Linked DNA regions of Coturnix japonica. The protein of the gene in region 2 interacts with the protein of the main gene of each other region in a pairwise test. Links are inferred from orthologs where the notes say so. Each region holds a gene or a part of one and is shown on either strand. Other genes may lie near its edges.

What was found.
Region 1: the proteins of potassium voltage-gated channel subfamily A member 3-like (region 2) and CAV1 come close enough for resonance energy transfer, tested with the Homo sapiens proteins (2 studies listed by BioGRID). The link is inferred for Coturnix japonica from reciprocal best matches to the Homo sapiens genes KCNA3 and CAV1.

What each region holds. Positions count from the first base shown.
Region 1 is NC_029516.1:22,494,927-22,507,411, forward strand, and holds the start of CAV1 (caveolin-1), read right to left. Parts: upstream 8,422-12,485; 5' UTR 8,272-8,421; coding exon 8,242-8,271; intron 7,657-8,241; coding exon 7,492-7,656; intron 1-7,491. UniProt on the Homo sapiens protein: May act as a scaffolding protein within caveolar membranes. Forms a stable heterooligomeric complex with CAV2 that targets to lipid rafts and drives caveolae formation. Mediates the recruitment of CAVIN proteins (CAVIN1/2/3/4) to the caveolae.
Region 2 is NC_029541.1:1,846,583-1,859,173, forward strand, and holds the start of potassium voltage-gated channel subfamily A member 3-like, read right to left. Parts: upstream 7,835-12,591; 5' UTR 7,664-7,834; coding exon 5,921-7,663; 3' UTR 4,469-5,920; intron 1-4,468.

The DNA.
Region 1 (12,485 bases), on a different chromosome or scaffold from region 2:
TGACAATGTGAGCATCCAGCTGTACCCAGAAATGAGCCAGGTTCCATGTGACTATCATTAGGTGTTCAAACTGACCAATGAGATTTTGTTACATTTCCTTTCTCCTTGTGTCTCTTTTCCATCACAGTGCAAGAACTGAGTGTTCTGCCTGTGAATCTCTTGATAGAGTGCAACTTTCCTGAATGCTACAGAGAATGCTGAAAAAGCAAAGCATGTTTTAACAAACAAGGATACTTGTGTTGAAAAACAGAATTGAAGGTTGAAGGATTGAAGGATTGAAGGATTATGCTCTTCTGACTAGAAAAGAAAACCATGTCCTGTCAGGAATGGCCACTACTGAGTAGTGAAAATACTTTGTTCTTCGAGGTAAGTAAGACACATTCATTTGGGCTGTGAGCAACTTAATATAATGCCATGACTTAGAAAAGAGTCATGACTGCAAGATCACAACTTCACAACCTGAAAATCGATGACAACTGCCAAAATTTGGTGATAATTACCAAGACAACAAGCCTTGAACATGCTGAATTACTGATCACATACCAAGAAAGCCTTTGTGATGGGCTCTGTCTTCACAGACAGGCCCATCTAAATCCGTGGAAGTATTCATGGGAAAAATGATGCTGTGGCAGTGGGTCAGCACTGAAGCAAGGAGGCATCCTCCAGAGACCTCACTGCCTGTGCTTCTTAGTATAGTCCAGCAGAAGGAAAGAACAGCAGCTTCAAGGAGACATCTGCATTCCGCGGAAACACAGTTAAGCTTCCTGTGCAGGTGGGGATATCACATCAGTCAGTTCCATAAAAAACAGTTTGGTGCTGTCAGTGAGCAGAAAACGAAGTGGCTGTTTTCATCCCTGGAAACTGAGCTGCTGGAGGGTGGTTGCAATTTTCCACAAATGGAACTCTTACAAAGCTTTCTTCATTTTATTATGTTTCATGTTGCACAGTTTCACCTCATCTGATGCTGCTACTTTAGTAAAGAACTCTGATATGTCTCTGTGTACGTGCATGTTCATATGTTTGTTCGTGTTTATATGTTTAAGGATACATATGCATCAATATGAACAGCAAGGTGGAATTTGGATGAGACTAAAAATAATGAGAGCTTTTTATTGATTCTTCTGGGATCTGGATTTAACCAGGATTCAGAAACGTTAATAAAAGAACAGGTGTCCTCCAAACAAATTTTTAAATGATTATGATGCTTTGTGTTGGTGGTTTCACAGACCTGATGTCCTTCTATGGACACTAATGGGAAATGGAACTACAGTGACCTCAGACTTCTTAGTAGCACATGGAGAGAGACAGGAACCTGCATTAGTGTACTTATATCTAGTATTGATTTTTTTTTCTTTTTCTCATTTTTAAGGGAGTCTAATGTGACTCTTAGCTGTGTATACTATGCACATACAAATTCCTGCTAATTGCTGCAATTATTTTAGCACATCTTTGTGACCTGTCCACTTCCCTCATTTCTGTCTGGATTGCTTACTGCTGACAGTGAGCATGCAGTGTGCCCAGCTAACTCTGTGTTACTGCCAAAGAGACTGGCCTCTGCGTTTCTACTGCTAGAACATTCTCTTTGTACTGGAAGATCTTAAGTTACTGACGCTTCATTATGAGACAACTATTTATTTATTTACTATTTCATAAAGATCAAGATTTCGCTGATCTACTGTTAAAGTCTTATCATAAACTGCACTGGAAAAGAGATAAATGAAACTGAATTTCCTAAAATGATAGGAGACTTTGAGACTGAAGTCTACAGGAGACATTAACTTGAGGGAAATGTGAATATGTTTCTATACTATCTGTTTCAGTCCTGAGGTGTTTTAGAGCTTACAGAGGAAGTGCTGCAGCCCTTCTATGAGGCTCTGTTGGCTTCTTGGAAACTCTGAGTTAAGTTCAGCACAGCAGGATTTTGGGCAGGGAATGTGATGTTTCCACCTTTAGCTGCAGCAGTATCATCTTCTCATTTCTTATTTGAGAAGCTGAGTTTAACAGTTCCCATTTATTTGAAATGGAAGTACATGAGTCGGGTGAGTAGAATATAGGCATGCCTCACTGAACAGCTCCACTAGCATCTATAGCATAACTCCTTGTCAATCATGAATAAAGCGGGGTGCAAACTTCATCTGATGTATTCACTAGAGTGGGCATAGTGGTACTGAGATTATATCCTGTTAAATACTAAACTGATGTCATAACTTTGACAAGAATAACATAGCATAAGATTAGAAGTTAATTTTGAAACTATTAAAAAGTATTTTCATAAGAAATTTCTTAGAAAAATTACAGATTCTTGCAGGGTTAACCCTGGCCCTCCAAGCAATTAAATAAACCTAATGGCGTAACTTATCTTCAAAGAAGGAAATAAAATCTCTTTAGTTCTACAATTTTTTTTTTAATTAAAAATATCAGGAAAAGGTAAATGGCAGTTCTAGATCAAATAGCTCAAAAAAGTAACTTGCTGATGTAGATTTCATCCCACTGTTTATTTATTACAAAGATATTTGAGGACAGTGGGAAACAGAAACCTTAGTTTACAGCTGTATTTCTCTTCTGCTTTCCAAACATCTCAAATTATATTGATTCAACCGCCTTTGTTTATATTTTTTTTCTCTCTATTGCTTAAAATACACCAAAGATCAAATTCTTATTGGGGATCCAATGGAAAAGCCACTTTGTCACACACATTTTCCCTGTTCGCACTGGAGAGTTTTAGATTTCAGTACTTTTCTCAGTATTAGACACCCTTACCTTCTGCAATGGAGATGGTGTTTCTATCCATATATTGTGTTAAAAATTCTAAAATGGATTCAAATTCTTCTTATATTTTCTAACATATAATCTGGATTGCGTTGCATCTGACAGAAAGATAAAATATTTGTCTTCTCTGAATCTGAGGTAGTGTATAATAAACTCTAACAAAAGGAAAACCTATGTTGAATAGTTGGCTCTTTCCTCATTGTCATCAAGTGAACATGGAGTTATGAGTCATGTTCATCACGTTAAGAATGCAATACACAAGGCTTTAATAATACTATAATCTCAAAGACAAACGCTTTTGTTTGGGATTTGAGACTTGTTTAGAGCAAATTCAATCGCTATCTGTAATATTATGGATATACAAACATCCCGTGTGTTTCAGTCTGGAAACTTCTAGTTCCTGTGCAAGTAATCCGTTTCAGAATTCTCAGCCCTCACTCAGTACCCCCACAAACTGGCCTTTGTAACAATTTGAGTTTTAATCTCTGAATCCTACACTAACCTTGGAGGGAATAGCTGGAACAGAACTGTATCATGCAGATAACAAAACACTGGAATAGTGCTGCATTTTAAAATCTGAAACCCACAGTTGGCCATTAGTAGAGGTGCAAAGTTTCACAGTTATCTCCTTTGAATGCATCTGTGACATATTGCAGCTGCACTTATCACCAAGTGGAGAGAGACACACACTCTGGGAGAACCACTCATGCTATCCTATGGTTAGGCCTACACATACGCCAATCTTCCTCTAAAGAGTGCTCAGCTATCTGAAGGGCAGGAGCTCTGTTCTCCATGCTGTCACACCAGAGACAGCCCTCAGTGCCTTACCCTTCCTACCTCAGCAAATGCAATGGGGACAGCACCCACTTTCCTTCCAGTAGGCTCCCAGGCCTGGATGTGTGAGGTGCGGACTAGTCAGTTTTCTGAGCACTGTGCTCAGCACAACAGTGAGTGACCACATCTGTGAAGGATTAAGTAAATAAAATTGCAAATTGTTTTTATTATTATTACTTTATAAGAAAGTTGTAGAAATCATAAATTGCTTTAAGCATGGCTCAGAATGGCTGAGCAGCACTGTGCTCACTAATGCCTACATCATGGTGTTGTGGTATTTGTCAAGATCTGACTAAAAATTCCAACCCAGCCTTACAGCGAGCAAAGCTGCCCGTAACTGCATTGGCTTTAAGAAAGAAGGCAGGAACAGGGCTGTTTAAAACTTGATACAAAAGTTCCACATTGCTACATCTGTAGCCAAGCTCTGGATTTTTTATTTCATTTTATATTTTTCCAGAGAAAAGGGTGCTTACACAACAGCAGCAGATAGATGCCATTTGTTAGAAACAAAACAGTAATTATGTTCAGGATGGTACAGCAGTACCCTAGTACAACACTACAGGAAAGAACTGCAATCAGATGTGACTACATGTTGGATCTTCACTAGTCCAGAAGGAGTAGAGTTTGCTGGGTTGGGTGCCTGGTCCATTTCTACCCTGAGCAAGGAGTGAGGAAGTGCTGAAAAGCACACGCCAGCCTCTCCAAGGGCTGCAGGAAAGCAGCCTTCTATGTTTCCTCCTAATTCAACAAACTCTGCAGAGTTGGCCACAGATACTTTGAAAAACTTTGAACTGCAAAGAGTTGGAAGGCTGTAATTTCAGCCACAATTTGGAAAACACAAATATTGCATTGGAAAACAGGAAGAGCAAAGACTGTGCAAGACGTGAAAGAGAACTTCAGGCAACTTTATGTGAGGCCTAGATCAATGGGGGAGGGAATGATAAACAGGAGAAAAAAAACCAAAACCACAAACCAATAATATTTCTATTCTGCTGGTTCCATCTCAATGCACATAAACAAGCTGTGGAATAGAAGAATGGACTGGAATCTGCTGTACGAAATAGATATAACTTTGAGGGAAATAGCTGTATAATAATCAAAATCTCTCTCAGAGAGTTCCCAGGTGCACAGAGGATACTTCTCCCTTGCTAAATTCCTATTCTGCTTTCTGTTTGACAGACAACTCCAGAAGCTGATGCCTCAAGGAATGGGACCACGCTGCACATTGTTGGCATCCCAAAGTGACGCATGAGGGCAGCCATATGAGGAAGAAACTCCTTCCTTTCCGCTCCCTGCTGAAGGAATTAGAACAGGAAGGAAACTCTGGTGGTTTTACTAGATTGTGCTTCCTCCTGCACGGAGCTGCCAACAACTTTGACTGTGGACCTCAGCTTTCACACCACAAGGTCAGTAAAGCCTCATTTTCAACCCTTTCTGAATACGGAGTCAGTTGCTTTCCCCACCTCTCTAGAAACCTAACAGAGCATTTAGTGTCCACTTGCTATTATTTATTTAATAAAAATTTAATGTTTCAATTCAATTTTAAAGGATCTGGATCAGGTCTCTCTCTCTCTTGCCTGGATTGTTGCCCTGCTGCTGCCTGCCCCATTTATCTGTTGTGGACAAAGCTGCAGATGCTCAGTGTTGCACTCCAAGGGAACATGCGCTGCTTCTTACAAGCAAGTGTTATTTTTAAAATGTGCTATGGGAAGTATTTGAATGCAGCCAACACTGAGGCCTTTTAGAGAGCTGCTTACAGAGCAGATTCCTCATTCTCTGTCTAATCATTTCTATTTCATGGTTGACTGATTTGTCCCTATTTTCCATGCTATTGTGTCTCATAGTCAAGTGGCAAGAAATGCATAAAACTCTGGTTACAAAGCAGAAGGTTCTGAATCTAGAAAAAGGCAATGGCCCTACACAAAACTGAGTTACATCTGGGGCATGCTTCAGGCCTTAAAAAAAAAAAAAGAATGATTTCTTCTGTCTTCCAGTACGCCAAGACGCCTGTTACTCAGGTACATTTTTTACACTTTCTAGATAACATAATGGAAGAGGTCATAGACTAGTGGCTGAGGCAGGAACTGAATCTTTGCCTTCTCCTCAGTGAGAGTCTGCCCCCTAGGAACTGGATCTAAACTTTGCAGCTACTTCTAAGCTGAACCTGAAAGAAGTGTTCAAACTCAAAGTGTAGCAAAATTCCTTTCTGTATTGGTAGGGTTGGGTCTACCTACAAAATGCTTACAACAAATCAAAGTGATTCTTATTCATCCTTGTGAGAAGATGGGAAAATGTTGCTTTGAAATGTCCGCTTTGAAAAAAAAAAAAAAAAAAACAGAACAAAAAATGCCGCTGCTTTTAGGATGCAAAATGGATACTGTGTGGTTAACATTTATTCTGGCACATCACTGTGTCTTGATATGCTTCTGTGCACTACCAGGAACTCATGGATACAAGACATGGTACCGCTATTCTGGCTGCTTGCTGGTTCTTGATGAACACATTTGATGGTCCACAGTTATCTTGGAGGGACATACTGAAAAGCTTGATTTTTCCATTCCTAAGTTCTTATTCTTTAAAAGTCTTTTGGATTATTGAATCTACCGAGCTAACTTTCTTAATCATTGTTCCTAAAAGAGGCAGAGAAAGCAGGACAGGCTCTGCATGCCACTTCTTTTTTGTCCATTAGGAGTTTTTTCCACCAGCAGCCTGCATCTTGTCCCAGCAGGATCTTTATCCCCAGGCTAAGTCTGGACACTCAAATTCCGGCCTGCCTAGGGGCTGTGACTCATCCTTGGAAGGTTTGGTTGCTTTGGGGACTCCTTCTGTTGATGTACGCAATGAGCCACTAGGAAGCCTTGTTCTCCAGCTCCTACATTCCTGCTACCCAGCTGCTGGGTAGCAGATAAAAGGATTGTTCCCTCCTTCCTAACAGCAAGCACTTTAATGGAAGTTCTGTACCACTAGGAAGTGGTACAGTTGATTATTTTCCCCCTAAGCAAATGGAAACTTCATCCCTTTTCTTTCTAGATCTTGGACAATGGCCCTCTTAACAAAATAGACAGCCCAAATTCCAATTCTTGATCCAGCAACGTGGCCAGTCATACTCAGCACCTCTAAGCTCCTTAGAAGTCAGTGGGATTTGAGGTTACTCAAGACCTTTCTGCATTGTCCGCACATGGCACAAATCATACCCCTGACATACATTTAGGAACTGCTTTCCAATCATTTTACCCCCCCCAGAAACAATATAACATTCATCTTTTTTTAAGGCCAGGTCTTCCTGCTCTACAGCCCCATTGCTCAGGGAGCCCATGCCTGGCACTAAGCACTCCAGTGCCTTTCTCACTCACTGCAGCTGACTGGGCAGCCCTTGGCTTTGCTGGATCCTGGTAAGCTCAGGTGGCAGTGTCCCTGTTTTCACACAAACAGCATAAAATTCTCCCGCTAAAAGAAAACTCAGCCTCGTGATTTTTCTGACCAAAGCGAGTACAAGCAAAAGTGTCCGTCACTCCACATGTGTCAAAACTGTCCAAGTGAGTTAAACACCAGAAGAAAGACTCTAGAAAGGGACCCCGTCCGGTTTTGCCTGGCTTCCTTTACTCACTTCCCGACAGAGGGAAAAACTGCACGGAAACGAACACAAACCAAACCAAGCAAACGAACCCAAACCACCTCTGCAGCCGCTTGGCCGAGGGCGACCCATCCCGCTGCTCAGCCCGGCTGGAGCCGCCCGCACGAGGTCCGCAGCCTTGGGCACACGGCTCGGGGCAGCCGGGCTCAGAGCCTCCCCTCTCTTTTCAACGCCGAAAAGAAATCGTGAGCTGCTCCCTCCCTCCCGCAGCAGGTGGAGGAAAGCGGTCGTCCCGTCCCGGCCCGGCCACTCACCTTCACCACGTCGTCGTTGAGATGCTTGGGGTCTCGGTTGACCAGGTCGATCTCCTTGGTGTGCACGTCGTGCACCGCCTTCTCGCTCAGCTCGTCTGCCATCATCTTGTTATTGGGCTTGTAGATGTTGCCCTGTTCCCTGACGGGCGCCGCGTACAGAAAGCCCTGCGGGAGGGAGAGCGGCCGGGGGGCAGAGCCGGCGGGGAGGGATGGAGGGAGGGAAGGAGGGAAGGAGGCAGGGCGGGCTGGGGGCGGCCCCGGTCCCGCGGGGAGCGCGGTGCGAAGCGGCGGTCGGCAGCCCGGGCTATTTAACGGTGCGGCGGGGCTCTCACCACACCCCGCGCCCGACGCTACGTTCGCTCCCACGGCCGCCGCCAGGCGTCCCCGCCGCGCCCCCCACGCGCCACCCGGGTCGGGCACGGAGCGCTGCCACCCGCCCGACAAACAGCCCGCCCCGGGAGGCTGCTCTGCCCCGGCGCCGGAGCCGGAGCCGGTGCAGAGGGAAACCCCCGCGCTGCGCCCCGCGTGTCCCGCCTTCGGTTTGTGACCCTCACCGCGTGGCCTCGCCCTGCAGCCCCGGGGCAGCCCCCAATCCCCTGCCCGCCGTTCATCCCGTCCTGTCACGTCTCGTCCCATCCCGTCCCGTCCCGTTTTCCGCAACCCCGCTCCCCGTCCTGTCCCGTCCCGTCCCGTCCCGCCGCGCCGCGGAGCGCCGGCAGCAGCCCGAGTGCATCCCCCGGTTCGTCCTACCTCCGAGTCCACGTATTTGGTGCCAGACATGCTGTCCCGGCGCTGCCGCAGGTTGCTCTGCGCTCTAACTCTGAGCAGCGGAGGCAGGAGGATCCCGTTCGGCGGAGCGGCCGGCCAGGGGAAGGGAGGCGGCTGGCGGCCGGCCAGGAGCTGCTCCCCGCCTCGGGCCGGGGCTGATGACAAGCGGCGGAACGGCCCGGCATCGCGCAGCGCGCCCGGGAGCGGCCCGCGGTGGGAGGGGAAAGAGACCCGGCCTCGGAGACCTGCGGGAGAGCGGGCGGCCCCGGCTGCATGGGAAGCTGCGGCGACGGTGACAGCGACAGCAGCCGCAGCCACAACAACCGGGGCCACCCTGCCCTGCTCGAGCCGTCCCCTGGCAGCGGGTCCTCGCCGCTGGGATGCGGGGGGCGGCGGTGGCCGCGTGTGGCAGAGCCCCTGGGGATGGGGGGACGTGAAGGGGTGAGGAGATGGAAAACGAGCAGTGCTGCGTTGGTAGAGCCCCCCCCTCCTCTGACAATGGTCCACGCACTGTCCCGGGAGCGATCGTGGAAACTTGGACATCTTTGGGTTGAAGAAAAAGAGATTTTCTAAACTGGTTCACTTCAAAACTATGCAAATATTTGACAGTCCCGCACGCTAAATGTGCTGTATTTTTCCTGGGAGGACGCTGACCCATGTCTGCCATGCACGTTAACAGCTGGGACTTCACTCTGAGAGGTGCAGTGGGATGCCGGTGTTTGCGCTCTGTTCTCTGCCCCCTCCCAGCTCAGGCTGCCCACAGCCCCATCCAGCCTGGCCTTGAGAACCTCAGCGATGGGGCACCCACGGCTTCTCTGGGCAGCTGTAGCAGCGCCTCACTGCCCTCTGAGTAAAGAATTTCCTTCTAACATCTAACCTAAATCTTCCCTCTTGTAGTTTACAGCTATTCCCCTTGTCCTATCACTATCAGCCCAAGTAAAATTTCATCCCCTTTCTGCTTATAAGCTCCCCTCAAGTACTGAAAGGAAGATCTTGACCCGTTTATTCAGTATTACTGCATGTCTCAAGGATGACTAAAAATAGGAAATTTATTGGTTAATTTGAAACAGTAATGACTCCTGGAATGGTTTCTGCAGAACTTCAGCACCATTTGGAAGACGTTTCTGAATCATAGAACACTGCTACAGTTTAAAGAGATACTGGGAGCAGGAGGAATTGATAGGCTTCACGAGATGAATCCCAGCAGAGGAGCGAAGGAGCTCTGCAAAGAGCTGTGATGCTGTACAGAGGAGCAGGATAGCTCATGTGGAAAGGGCATGGCAAAGGCTTGCAGGAACCTTCTGAAAGCACAGAGCCTGTGCTCCATTCTTACCTGCTGTGAATGGATTATTCAGGAGTGGCCTAAAATTGCCACAGATCTCAGACACCCAACCAAACTTCTTCTCACTGAGCTCTGCTGCACTGTTGGCAGCCCAGGGCAGCTGCTGAGCAGAGTTATGTGGTAACTAGCTGGCCACCTCGCTGCCCTTCTTCTTTTTCCATCACACCAACTCTACTTATTTCAAGTCTAATTTTAAAAGCATTTTATTCTCCAAAGCTTTGCTTTAACTCAACTTGCAGACCTTGGAATTGCCTTAATTGAGAACTGACTGTAAATATAGAGCCACATGTGTGCGAGGTGGGAGCAGTTCTTCTGATTTTGAGAAGAAAAGCCTTAGTACTGGCAGGAAACGTATCTTCCAAAAAGCAAAAATTGGATTGGAAAAAATTCCTCAAAAAATACTGTCAGAAAATGAGTCACAAGGCTGAACTAAATGTGTATGGCTGCTCACTGTGTGTCTTTGTCTGGTATCAAACACTGCCTCTCACTCCACTCCTCCCCCTAAAGTTGTGTAATTATTCCAATTATGGTCTCTGCGATGTTCCTGATACTTGCATGACAATGCCAGAGATTGGAATCAGATCAGCTGAGAGTCTGTATTCTTTATGTACAGCTGCAGCAGCAGTGAGGCTGTCAGATAACAGCCTGCCCATGAGCAGCCTTCCTTATGCAGCATGCTTCAAAACCTAAGGCTTAGGAGGGGAAAATCACTGTGGTTTTAGTGTCTTCTGTTCAGCTGCTGAAGTACATCCTTTTATGTGCATTTTTGGATGGAGATGGTTTGCTGGCTGAAGGCCTGAGCTGCCAGAGCTGTTGGTAGCGAGCTTTTATCAGCTCTGAATACAGCGCTTACCCTGCTGCTTGATAACAGGCACCGCAATGGGCTTAAAGCACAGAACAGTGCTTTCCTCGCTCCACGTCTTACAGACTTTCATTCTCAGAAGACTCACAACAGTTATTCTGTCCCCACTCTGGAGGCTATCCATGGTTTAAATTACAGCTCACTGAATCAGAGCTATTTCACTGATGTGGGTGCCCTTGCCTCAGTCCCATATCAGAATATAGGACTGTCTCTCTTGAATGCTTTTTTGTTACTTGGACCATTCCTTGTGTCAGAGGAGACATTTGCTCAGGAGAGATGGTGAGCTGCCCTCACATTCCTTTCTTCTCATAACCTCTAGCTATGAGCGATTCCCTTTTAAATGGAGATGCTGCTGCCACAGCACATTTCACAACAGCCTGAGGGCCAGAAGTGTAATCTGACAACTGAGAGACCCGAGATCAGTTTTTGCTATCTGAGATGTGTTAATGCATTTGGACTCCTGGGAAAGCACATTTTGGGAAGTACCCCGCTCTGCCGACATGCAGTCAGTCTATTTTCAGGTGACCAGGGCATTCTCTTCCTTTACTTTCGGATTCTGATTGGGCTTGGATGTGAGTGAGATGCCAAGTTGCTCAAACAAGGGCAGTTCTAGGCATGAACTGTAGGTACTGAGGGAAGGTTACATGAAAGGGAGGTGCCTTCTGAGTTTAAACATGTTTCTAGCTGGGTGGCATCTGGGCAGGGATTACAGTTTTTGGATTAAAAGCCTATCAATTCTGTGTTAGGCATATATATATTTTATTATAGCTAGTCCCCATAGGTCTCAATCAAGGTAGCTTGTAACCACTTGGTTGGTGCAGAAAACAGATTGAAAGCCTTAATTCTGTCAGCTGAAGGTTAAGTTTTCCAGACCTTGAGCAGTTTGGGTCACTCTTTTCTCAACCCTTTTCAATATCAGGTTCTTGGTCAGTACTGAGCTGGGCCATGAATGCTGCTTGGTGTCGACACTACTCTGTGCCATTCAGCCAGTTCTAACAAGTTATTAACTGTATTGTGCAGAAAGAGCAATCTGAGAACTACTCCCTCTCATAGGAGTCAAGCACCCCCTCCCTGAGGCTTATATAAGATATGATTTTTTGTCACTGAGATCATAGAATTACAGAATCATAAAACGGTTTGGGTTGGAAGGGACCTTAAAAACCATTTCATTCCTACCCTGTGCCATGGGCAGGTTGCCACCCCCCAGCTCAGGCTGCCCACAGCCCCATCCAGCCTGGCCTTGAGAACCTCAACGATGGGGCACCCACAGCTTCTCTGGGCAGCTGTGCCAGCACCTCACCACCCTCTGATTAAAGAATTTCCTCCTAACATCTAAACTAGGAGACTATGAGAGATGTAGGTGGAGGAGAGCCTGTTCTGCTGCTTAGATACTTAGATTGCTTCCATAGGCCTGCACAATTTTTAGAGGAAACAATTTTTTATTTTTTTTTAATGCAGCAGAGGAAGGGACCCAGGCCAAGACAAACATTTTGCATTAATCACTGCAGAAAACTCTTCTCAGGAGGATGATTCAGAGCCGGAACCTATCCTAGCTCTTCTGGATTGCCTCTACAGAAGACATTTTCTTTTTGTTGAAATAAGCTTTGGAAGATCAGTGTCACTTGGTTAAAAATAGCCTTAATAATTCACCCCTCAGCTGTAAATCCCTGCATGAAGAAAGCACCTCAGTTTTTAATGCATAACTGGTGGCTGTGTGTGCTCACTGCAGGTCTTCATGAACACAGTGTACTAACAGACAACGCCAGCAGAATCCAGAATTTCATTGTGTTCCATATTCATTTGCTTGAAGAAAAAAAAACAACATGTTGTTATCCCTGTATTTTTAAAAGGGAGTTAATACAGCTTAACAGCCTTAGTTTTATCTCTGCAGGTGGGGAAAAGATCACACCCTGTAAAAATAAAGGGCTTAGACCATTCTTTGGCTTCCATTAAATGTGAATGTGTGGTCTGAGGTCCCAGAGCTGCAGGGATGTTCTGAACTTTTCAGTCAGTGTACATCAG
Region 2 (12,591 bases):
CAGGAGATGTTGCTGCTCCGGCTCCTGAAGGGATGCAGATGTATCCAACAGAAACAGAGGATGTGAAGCAGCAGCCACAGAAATCAGAGGTTGTTCAGTTGGTGGAGCCAAAGGATTTGTGGCCAAGAGGTGGGAGTTGGCTGAGCAGCTCGAGAGACCGCGTGCACCGCATCTTCCTTGAGCTCTGGACCCAGGGGAAATCCAGGACTGGAAAACAGCTCCTGTTGAGCCAAGTCCTTAAGGGATAAACAAAGAGGACGGGTCTGTCTGCCTCCCTCTGATCCCCAAAAATATGTTGGAATGGCTGAGATTTTTCATACGGAATTGAAGTGAGGGATATAATTGATGACATACAATAAAGCTTTGGGGGAAATAGATTTTATCACATTAACCTGATGAGCTCTTCTTACTGAGCTGATAGAGGGATGTGCTGTCGTAATACGCTCCTGCAAATGAGCTGCACAGCACCTTGGTTATGAGAATGGAGCAACATATGCACAGAGATAGGATAAATGAGGCATGAGGGTGGGAATGCAAGTGTGAAGACTCACATCCCCCATCTGCAGCACAGGGAATCCCATCTCATGGACTGCAACCTGCACAGCATCCCCAGCTACAATGCAGCGCTCTCAGCTCCTTTCTTGCTACCACGGGGGCAGAGAACAAAACGCATCTTTCTGCAGACACAAAAATGCTTTGCAATGCACGCATTCGTCTTTTCCACGCTTCACTGCAGCCTTTGGGTGCTCATGAGAGCAAAACCCAGAGCAAAGGCACTGCTGCAGGAGCCCCGCTGCACCCCAGCGCTGAGCCACCACTGATCAAACCGTGACACAACCCAAAAGGATTTTCCATATCTGCTATGCAAGAGGCGAGCAAACAGCTGGTGCTGGTCAGCATCAACACAACGCCAAGTGCACTTTGCTGCCTGGAGAGCAGGAGCAGAGATAACCAGTGGCTGATGCAGTCATGCACATCCGCACCAAGTCTTCCCACACAGTACGTGTAAGGATGCTAAAAATGAAGTGCAACAAATGTGGAAGAGCAACAGACGTGACGGAGCTTCTCCGTGCTCAGAAAAGCATCTGAATTACGAGTAGTGAGGAAATGAATCACTGCAGAACCAACACTGAGCTGGGGGTCTTCATGTACAAAGATGGTTCCCTCTGTGCAGAGGTGAAGAGCAGCTGTAGGGAAGTATCTGAGCAGAGTGACAAGCTGAACGAGATAGGAGACAGGTTTTAATTTACTGGAGCATGTCTTGCTTCATAAGAAGGAGAAAACTGATGGTGCCCTGCAGGGACATCCGTGCGTGAAGGTTTCCCTGTCCTCCTGCAGAGCATCCTCAGCACTCCGCCAGTAATGAGACATGGATGGGTCCCTGCAATGTGTGCATATCAAAAGCAGCACCTTGTTCGCAGAGGGAAGGCAAACAGGGGCTCGTGGTGGATTTTCTCAGAGCATTTTTGGTTGTTTTGATGGCTCCAGCTGGAAGGGCAGCATGGGACCCCGCTCCCATCCTTCTTCCGCACAGAGGACGGTTCTCATGAGCAAAAAATGTGGCTTGCTCTCTGCTGCTGACAAACAGCAGGAGCACAGCAGCCCTGACGCCTTCCAGCACAGAGCAGCAAACACGCGTCCCGTCAGGAGGGATGAATATCGCATTGACGGAGGCAACATTACTCATTTTCCTGCTTGGGAAGCCAAGTATGGGAGAAAAAGCTCTGGGTTGTGCCTGGGGCTCTGTCCTATGAGCTGCAGAGCCCTCACTGGGGCAGCTCCACTGGGCTCCCCCCAGGAGCAAACATGCCCCGTGCAATGCAATGGCATCGCAGCTCCATGCCGTACCCTAAGAAAACCCTACATCAGAGCTCACCAAAATGCTGTTAAGCCCCATCCCCACTACCAGGGGAGTGATTCCCAGCACCAGGGGACACCCAAATGTCCCCAGAACCACAGCACCCAAATGTCCCCAGCTGCACTTTGCTGCCCAAAGAAGAAGACCCAGAGCAGAGCAGGGTGCAGAGAAGAACACCAGCTCCATGGCAGTGAAAGAATGCACAGGATTTGCTCTCCCATGGCATCCCATGATGTCCTCAAAACACCTCTTCCTCTACATCCACTGCCCACACACATGCCTTGGCACAAGGATGCCATTGCTGAGCTTTCCTTCCCCTACACAAAATGCATGAGACCGAAAGGTAGAACGCTGCCAGGTGCAATCCTACCTCATTCATTTGCACCACAGGTTTGCAGCCTGTTAAAGCATTTAAATATGGAGAAAGGCACTGCCTCACGTCGGGCTGGGATGTGCTTGCACGTAGATATGCATATTTTAAAAGCTTGGCAGGAAGAGGGCTCCAAACTACACAATTAAACAGATTTCATGCAGAATGCCCTCCGCACACACAAACCACCATCAGAACCCCATGCTCTGCTGTGCCGGGACACCCCTTAGTGATGGGTGAGGGCTCCTTCCCTTCTGCTGAGGAAGCTGCTGCTCTGCCCTTCATCCCCACTAAACTGTTCCTAAATTGGGGATGAAAAACAAGCAGCAGCTTCCTTTGTCCCTTTGTCAAGGGATGGAACAGAAACAATTGCCTAAAGAAATCTGACCCTGCAGGAGGAAAGGGACACCCCAGCCCTGCTCCGTGACCCCAGAGCAGGACAGATCCCATCTACCTGAAGGGCATGTGCTGTGCTGGGGAGCAATGGAGCTTTTTGGAGGAATCCAGGCCAAAAGAGTGTAAATAAACAGGAGAAAAAAAGTGAGAAAAGCATCAAGCAGAAAGGGCAGGTTGGGGGGGGGTTCCTGTGTCAAAGGTGATGCACCCATGGGGAGACAGAGACCATAGGGCACCCTAAAAGCCACCAGCAGCCCAGGGTGACACCTGCTTTGAGACAAGCTTACAGCCCGGTGTGCTCTGCTGCGCCCAGAGCAACAGCACCAACACCACGGTTTGATGCGCACTGCAAGGCAGCAGAGGAACACACAACGGATGGAAGCTGCAAGGCAGCAAAGGAACACACATGGAAGGAAGCTGTAAGGCAGCACAGGGCGCTCCATCCCTGCAGGCTGCCACGGAGCTGTCTGGCAGCACTTTGCATCTCCTGGCAGGATGCGCCCGGCGGAGCTGTCAGACCACGGAGCAAACGGCACCCAGCGAAACTGACAGCACCGAGGGAAGGAGCAGACAGAAATGGGGCAGAGCACAGCAGGGATATCCCCGTTTTTCTGCTCCCTCTCCCATTTCTGTGCGTGCCTTCAGCTCTTTGACGTTTTTCAGCGGTGCCATTCAGTGCTGAAAAACTACGGCGGATGATTCGGCTTCTTTAGCACCTCTGTGATAAAGAGCTTTTTGCTGTCAGCAAAATGTGTTTGAAGCTATTCTGCCCCCACCGAATGAGGAGGGGAAGCAGCCAGGAAAGCAAACTAACGAGCGGTGTGGTTTCTTGCTTATTTAAGTGGCACAGAAACTAAGAAGCCTGCGCTGCTGTTTCCAGGCACACGTGTGGTTTCCATCCGTGCAGCTGCCACAGCAAAAATATCACAATAAAACTCAGCGAGGAGGGGGTTGAGCTCCCACTGCCCTGAGCTCCAACCCTTCTTTTAGGATGGGGCATGCAGAAAAGCTTTGATAGCCATCAGAAGGGAAAGCTCGCAGCCGGCTGTGACAGCTCAGCCTGCTGGCGAAGGTGCCTTGGGGTTCCCTGCTGCCCCGTGCTCTGGGATGCTGTCAGGGTGAGGGGCTGTCAGCTCTGTGTGGTTGCAGATCATCGCCCTCACCATGGTTGGGGTAGATTCTCTGCTGGGGAAACTGCTGCAGCTCCAATAAAGCCGTCAGATGCCATTAGTGAAGAAGCTGCTCGGATGTTTCCTGTTGGTTTGGAGTGTTTTATTCACTGGTTGGGGTGCTGGGGCTGAAGGGCAGCGTGATGTGACACAAACTGTCCCAATCCTTTTAAAGCCTGAGGGAATTCCCAGCAAAATTCCCAATTCCAGCATGGTCAAAAACCTCCCTTCCATCCCCTCAGGAAACACACAACTCAGCCAGGTTGGGCTCCAGGTGTCCTTTGTCTTTGCTGGCATTCCTGTGCACTCCTCACCTGACAGATCATTTTGTTCTTACCCCAAAGCCAACTGGGACACAACACAGCCCCACCAGCCCCACTGTGGACCAACCCAAAGCACCAAAACACTGACACAACTCTCATTTTTTGCACAGTTTTGGACAGATCCCTGCACAGAACAGCACAGCTTTACCCCAGCACTGCTCACCCAGAGCTCAGTGTGCAGCAAAGTGAGAAGCACAAAGAATCAGAGGATGCTGCCTTCCCATGACACCCAAAGTGCACAAAAAACACACCAAGGGGAGCTGGAAAACGACACCATGCAGAAGGAAACACGAGGTTTGTTCCAAAAAGCAATGATGCAAAAGAAAACCTCTCCCCCCCTTGCAAAGCTCACCTGATCCCATCAGATGTCCTGCAGCCCCCGGTGTGCACAGAAGGATGAAGGAGGCACATTTTCCCTGGCGACTTTGGGCTTACATTGCATTCTTGCTCTTTCTAGCTCTGCATTTGTCCCCATGGTTTCCAAAGGCTGCTGAGCTTTCATGGCTGAGCTTTCATTTCTGCCCTTGGAGGACACTTTGGGGTTTTGCTCCAGGTGAGGTGAAGGCGGTCCTTTCTCCACTCATATTTGCAGGCTCCCAAATCTCACCGCCAAGGTGTGAACTCCTTTGAGAGGGAGAGGGGGATGTGGGGAGTGCTTATTGCCTACGGGTGGGTGTTTGGCTGCGGGGATGGGCTGCAGGATGGGGCACGGATGGGGGTGCAGGATGGGATCCCCGTGCGGTACAGAGCCATGGGGTGGTGGGGCTGGAACCATCTGGAAGGGCTTTGGAGGGAAGGGTGAGGGCCGAGGGGGGGATGGGAGAAGGGATGCCATGACAACCTTTTGGGGTTTCCCAGGAAACCAGGGTGGCCATAGCAACTGCATCACTCCGGTCCGAATTAGTGACTTCCGCTGGAAGGCGTGCTCACCACTTTAATCTCCTTGCCATAAGCAGCTGCATCTCTCCCAGACGCGGTGGAAAAGGTGGAAACATCCCTTTGTCTGCAGCTCGGCAGCTCGGAATCACAGCCCTCATGCAGCCACCCCATCCCGCTCTGCCCAACACAGCACACGGACCCACAGACCCTGCGCTGGGTGAAATCATGCCCAGGGCTGCAAGGGAAGGGTGGAAAATAAGAGGGTTGGGTTTTAGTTTGAACCGATTGCATTCGGCTTCTGATCAGACAAGAATGATCTATAGGGGGAGAAAAGGGGATCTGCGGTGCGTCCCTAAGGGAACACCACCTCCCAGCACTGAGCGCTGTGTAACAACGTGGTAACGGGGACTGTGCGAAATGAAAGGGTTGTTTCCTCCCAGCCCCCTTCCAGAGCTCGGCAACATGTTTTCCTCATCTCCCCACCCAATCCGGGGCCGTTAATCCAACAAGTGAGCTTATGAGATGGAAGGGAAATGGGCTCCGCACCGCCTGCAGGGAAGGGGGGAGCAAACCAGGAGCAAAGCGAGACGTCCCCAAAAGCCAGGAAACAAAGGCAGCCCCGCAACACGTTGCAGAACAGACACCTGCTCCAGCGGTGCCATTTGTCTTCGTTCTCCTCCTCCGTCCCCATCGACCGTCCTCTTTTCTTTGGAGAAGATTAAATCCCTTTCGGATCTTTAGAAAGGAAACAAAAAAACCCCAAAAGATCTACAAAAATAAACGTATAAAAAACAAGGGCGCAGACAGACGGACGATGGTGCATGTTCCACACAACACCAAGTACACACGGTCACTTTTGCATCATTGTTATTATTATTATTCTTTTTTAACCACGTCCTCAGCTTTCGCCGCCGCTCTGTGTTTATTAAACATCCGTAAAGATCTTTTTGATGTTCACACAGTTGGGATTGTTTGTGGTTGTGCAGTTGCCTGTCTTAAAGGCAGCCTGTTTGAATGCACTGTGGTTGATTCCCCCCTCCTCTATCACCATGTACTCAGATTTGCTGAGGGTGGAATTGCTGCGTGCCTTCCTCATCTCTTCAGTAGACGAAAGGTGCTGGCAGCTCCCGACATGCATGTACTGGGCTTGCTCCTCACCTTCTGTCTCCCGGTGGTAGAAATAGTTGAAATTGGAGACTATGACAGGCACGGGCAGGGCGATGGTCAGCACCCCCGCGATGGCACACAAGGAGCCCACGATCTTGCCCCCAATTGTCATGGGGTACATGTCCCCATAGCCCACAGTGGTCATGGTCACCACAGCCCACCAGAAAGCATCAGGGATGCTGGTGAAATGAGACTCAGGGTCATCAGCCTCAGCAAAGTAGACAGCACTGGAGAAGAGGATCACCCCAATGAAGAGGAAGAAGATGAGGAGACCTAGCTCCCTCATGCTTGCTTTGAGTGTCTGACCCAGGATCTGCAGCCCCTTGGAGTGCCGGGACAGCTTGAAGATCCGGAAGACCCGCACCAAGCGGATGACTCGGAGGATGGCCAAGGACATGGCTTGCTGGCCATTGCCTTGCCTCTCAGCCATCTCAGTGCCCAGGGTGATGAAGTAGGGGATGATGGCCACAATGTCAATGATGTTCATGATGTTCTTGGAGAAGGTGGCCTTGCTGGGGCAGGCAAAGAAACGCACCAGCAGCTCAAAGGAGAACCAGATGATGCACAGTGTCTCCACCACAAAGAAAGGGTCTGTGAAGGACGACACCATGGAAACGGCCGAGGACGAGGAATTGGTGAAGACATCAGGTGGGAGAGGGCCACCACCCGTCCCAAAGGTCCCCCCGGTTCCCTCATAGTCGTGGTCATCTCTGAACTCAGGCAGAGTCTCCAGGCAGAAGATGACGATGGAGATCAAGATGACTAAGACGGAGACAATGGCGATGGCCCGGGCTGAGCTGGAACTCTCAGGGTACTCAAAGATGAGCCAGACCTGGCGCTGAAACTCGTTGTGGGGAAGGGGCTTGTCCTCTTCTCTGATGAAACCCTCATCCTCCCGGAAGCGCTCCATGGCCTCCTTCCCCAGCTGGTAGAAACGGATCTCTTCGGAGAAGATATCAATGGGGACATTGACGGGTCGTCGGATGCGCCCTCCCGACTGGTAGTAATAGAGGATGGCGTCGAAGCTGGGCCGGTTCCGGTCGAAAAAATACTCGTTGCGCAGGGGGTCGAAGTACCGCATCCTTTTGCGGGGGTCCCCCAGCAGCGTCTCGGGGAACTGCGCCAACGTTTTGAGCTGAGTCTCGAAGCGCAGCCCCGAGATGTTGATCACCACCCGCTCGCAGCACTCGTGCTCTCCGCTGACCTCCGTGGTGTGCCCTGCGGGACCGGCGGCGGGCGGCGCGGGGTGCTCGTAGCGTTCCCCCCCCAGCAATGGGTGCGGATGCTGCGGTTCCTCCGGCAAAGGGTCCCCGGAGCCCCCCACCACCGTCATGCTGCCTTCCTCCGCCTCCTCGCCCTCTTCCTCCTCGTGGCCGGGGAGCGGCTGCGGGGCGCCGGGGGGCGGCTGCTCGGTGTAGCCCAGGTTGTGGTGGCTGCTGCTGGGGGGCCGGCCGGCGGAGGAGGCGGCAGGAGAGTGCAGCAAGCTCCGGCGCTCGTCCATAAAGGTGTGGGGAGGAAGGGGGAAAGGGTGAGAGGAGCGGCGAGGCGGCGGTCGGAGCCTCTTCTTCCTCCTCTTCCTCCTCCTCGGGGCGGAGAGGGAGAAGCAGCCGCCCCGCTCCCGGCTGCCGCGGCTCTGAGCGGCGCCGGGCTGCGCTCAAAAAGTCCGCCCCCAGCGCTGGCACCGCCTCGCCCCGCCGCTACCCGAACCCACCCCCCCCGGCTCCGCCCGGCTCGGGGACCCCCGGAGCCCCCGGAGCGGCTCGAGCTGTGCCCGGGGTGCGGGGTGACTGCGGGCGGGGAACAGCCGGCGGCTGCTGGGGCTGAGAGCGGCGGGGGGAGTCCTGCAAGGCAGGGCGTGTGTGTGTGTGTATGTGTGTGTGTGTCTATGTATGTGCACATACACGTGTGTTTGCACGCCTATGTGCATGCATGTGTGCATATGTGGATGCTTGTGTGCATGCATGTGCATTCATGTGTGTATGTTCATGTGTGTGCACATAAGCCAGTGTGCATGAGTGTGCATGAGTGCACGTGTTCATGTGTGTGTCTTGAGTGTGCGTGTGCAACCCCACAGCAAAATCAATGGAGAAGAGAAGCTGGCTCAGCCCTCAGTACAGGCAGTCGCAGTCTTTCCTGCAAGGAAGCTGGAAGGCTTTTCTCAATCAGTCTTTTCAGACAAATAGTTCACTTTTGGTCAAACAGGACTTTGTTTTTCCTGCAGAAAGCCTTCCCTGCAGGATCCCAATGCTGGCAATCACTCCATCCCCACAAGACTTGCACAGAGGGGTAACCCAAGGGCAACCCTCCCCTCAATAGGTCCCAAACCCTATTGGTCACTCTCCAGGAGCACTCCTATCCTCAGCCATGAGCCATGAGGCTCTGGGAACTCAGGGGGTTCCTGGCTGGGGAAGGAGCCTGACCACATTGACCACATGGGTCAGGGATGTGTTAAGGGCATCCCAATCCCATCCCACCCCGACAGCCCCACTGCAGAGGAGGTGAAATCCTCACCATCAGCCCCGCTGCAGCTCCTTGCTGCTGTTATTTTTAACCAGCACAGCCTCCAGAAGGTAGGGAGAGGGGGAAAAAAAAAGCAGATGAAAAGATCAAACTTATTTATACTTGAAATTAGAAACAAGCTGTACAAAATATACAAACCTATGGGGGAAAACAGCAATAAATATTGCTGTAGGAGCCGAGCCCAAACTGTAAATGGGAACAGATCTGAGCTAGCCCAGCTTCCCTTCCTCATTTTGCTGATAGAGCTGGTAGGGGGCAAAATAACCCCAAACCTTCTGCCCCCAAAAGTGGTGGAGGTGCCCAGAAGGAGGGACCCACCATAGAGAACTGCTCTATGCTGCGGCTGAGGCCACTACACTTGTTGCTGCAGCAGCAACAGGGGACACCCATCTCCAGGCCGTGGCACCTTGCCCTGCATGGATTTATGTTCTTATGGTCACCTCCATCCTTAGCTTCACGTCCTGCTCGTGGCTGCACATCACCCATGATGAGGGAGTCGGGCAACAGGAGTCCAGCTTCTCCCTCTCATCATTTCTACTGTAACTAACAGCAGAAGAACCCAACACTCAGCACCTCCCACCTATCCCAACCTGGACAGAGTGAGAACCAAACATCATTCACACTTGGTTGCTCAAAGGCTGCAAAACACTCCTGGAAATGACAGTTCACATCCAAAATCTGAGCTCTGCTCTCTATGGGTTTCATGATCATACAACAGAGCATCATCTGCTCCCTCCATACATGTGTGTAGCACTTACTTAAGGACTTGTCTGGCTCATCTCTTTCCTCTGCTAGGATTTCTGCCAGTAAATCACTGTCATCTGGTCGAAGGCAAACAAACAAGGCTGCTTCGTACTATAAACATTTATTGATGACAAAAGGCTCGAGGCAACAAGGCGTAACTTCCATAACTGCAACAGTTTACTCCAGCTCTCAGTCGGGGGGGGGGGAAACTCACTGGAAATCAGTGCCAGCTCTGCAGAGAGCTGCGTACCTTTGGGATGCAGAGAGGAAAATCCCTTCCCTTGCAACCAGGATCGAGTTGTCCCCATCAGCTCAGTGCAGCAGCAGGAATTAACCCCTCAGCTACCGGCTGCTTTAGATCAGCCTGGAGATCTGCGGCTCCAGCCCAGCTGCCCCAGGCACCGCGTGGCCTCCTGGCCCTGTTTTCCCCTCCGCTGCTTCCACCTAATCCCATCAAATCTAATTAAGCTCTGCCAGGCCAGCAGCTCGCTGCAGGCAGGGCTGCTGCGGGGCCATTGCCGCTGGCCCCAGCTGGTCAAGCAAGGCAATGTTGTGCCCCAAACCAAGAGGCACAAGCACGGTCACAGGGTGAGACTGAGCACGGTTACAGCAATGCTGATAGGAGTCCATGAGAAGGGACACCCCTGCGGTGCCCTCAACACCTTCCTGCAAAGCACAGCACTAAATGTGCTCCTCCAGGCTGTGGCTTTTCTGTTTAATGCAGGATGGCCACCACCTCCTCCTCCTGCGAGATCCTCTCTGCTTCTCCGTCCAATTCTAATCTTGAATCTGGACTTGACAAATTCAATTTGATTCCTAACAGCCATTCAGGAAACTCCCCTGTGCAATGATCTACAGGCTGACCTGCAGCATCAGCTGCAGCTCCTGCAAAGCAGCTGAGCCAGCACAGCTCCTTTCTTCCTTTCGTGGCCTTCTTGGGGCAGAGGGGGCACAGCTTCACCTCACCCACAACCATAGAGGAACCCTTACAGACCCCTCCCATGTATGGAACCATTATTCCAACCCCCCACTGCTCCCAGCCTTTGGTCCCCTGCCTTGAAGCCTTGCCCATCTCAAGCATCCTCTTGTGCCTGCCACAAGAGCTGTGCATCCTGCAGCCGTGCTGCCAGCACGTGTTGGAGCCCTGCCCTCCCTCATGTCTGAATGGGAACCCTGCCTCCATTGATAAATCTGGGACAAATCTGCTACTCTTTATTCCTGAGGATCAGAAACCTTTCAGCGCTAACGCTGTTACAATAATACCTTAATGCACCATAAATGTATTGTCTCTCCTCTCACAGCAGGGAACACACAAAGCTCCAGCTGCTTCATGGGGACACGATTAACTCACTCGTGTGGCTCCTCCTGTCGTTCCAGAGCCATGAGCTCACCTTGCCCTACCTTTGCTGTTCACATCCATAGGAACCCTATTTCCCTGCCAACATTAGAGGCTGACAGTGCCATTCGGGTCACTCCCCACTGCTGAAGCTTGTAAATAAGGCTTCAGCATCAACCCAACTTCTCATGATTAACTCAGAGTCACACACAGCTACAGCAAACAAATGGGCACCAACGCTCTGCTCCTCTTCCTGCAGCCACGTTTAGCCACTTGCTCACCCCGTAACCTTCAGCTGGTTCTTCCCTATCAGCTTAACCCTGATTTAATTACAGTTATTGGCTCTGCAATTAGGGATGAAGCGGCACAGGGCTGCCTCTGGGCCAGGAATGACCACCCTGCAGCCTTTGGGCTCATAGCAGAGATGCACAACAGCTCTGAGATGCACCCACAGCCGTCTGGCTGCGTAGGAGCAGAGCCTCAAGTCTCTCCGTGCCTCAGTTTCTCCTCTGTACATTAGGAGAACGCTTCTCGCCTCCCACCTGCAGTCTATTTAAATCCCTCGCCAGCCTTTCGCCCAGCTCGCGGTTGCAAAAAAAAAATGAGAGAGAAACTGAAACTCGAGATGGGAAATAAAACTCAGAGCTTTCTGACTGCTGCAGTTTGGTTCACTGTTGGCACATGGGCAAAGCTCACTGCTGTGGGGATGGTAAACCCCGAACAGGGTGCTGAGCACAAATGCAACAGGCAGCAGGAACATGGGGGTATCTCTGTTGCAATAGAGTGAACAGAGGCAGAGTGGCTTCAGAGAGGGGTCATTGCTCTCAGTGGGTGGGGTAAGTGAAAATGAAATCCCTTGACCCCAACTCTGCCATCAAAGAATGGGGCAGAGATCCCCCAGATTCCTCTGCATTGCTTGCTGACTTCACACAGTGGCTCCATTGGCTGTGATGGAGCTGAAGGAGCTCAATCCCATCCAGTCCTTTGGGGACCAAGGGGTTACAATTCAGGCTAGAGTCAGGCCTATTTTAATATCCTAAAAATGTGATTAAAGGGCGGGATTATGTTGGCCAAACAATGTTAATGCAAATTCCCCCTTTAATGGGGATCACATTCCAAGGCCTTCACAATGACAGCAAAATGATATCCAGCGGCTTCTTACGCAGCTCCTGTTGCATGCCATTATTTGGTCATTAGGTGATAAGATTACATCCACAAAGCAACTTAACCACAAATCCATGGAGACAGCGCGGCAGCGGCGCTGCCTTTTCATTACGGATGGGCAGATGTCCATGGGATGCAGGGTGGGCGCTGGAGGGATGCGGGGTGAGCATCATTGCCCAGCTGGATGAGAGCTCAGGAGCCCCCGTTTGGGGCAGCAGAAGTCACTCCTTGTGCTTCACTGAATAATTTATTCCAGGAATGTCACTTCTGCTTGGCTTTGGTGGCACTCGTCCCCATCCGAGTTGGCACATGGCGGCATTTCAGCCTACTTATGCCAAGCAAAGCCAACAGCTGCAATAATTCTTCTAGCAGCCCCTCTGACAGCCAAGCCCAACCACTGCCCTCCATCCAAACACAGCTGGAGCGATGTGCCCTAAAATACAGCATCGCTCTCTTCACAACAAGATTTCAAGTGGATTTTTTCAAGGGGAAACTCAGGATATTTGGGTGAATCGGTGCCCAGCCCCGCTCAGCTGCACAAACAGATCTGTTCTTAAATAGCTCCATTTGGTTTGCACTAAAATACTGGAGAATCTACAAGCCAGTGCTGCACTACAAAGCGCCCTTGTAAAGGCTCGAGTGTTTATTTTCAGAACGTGTGCTCT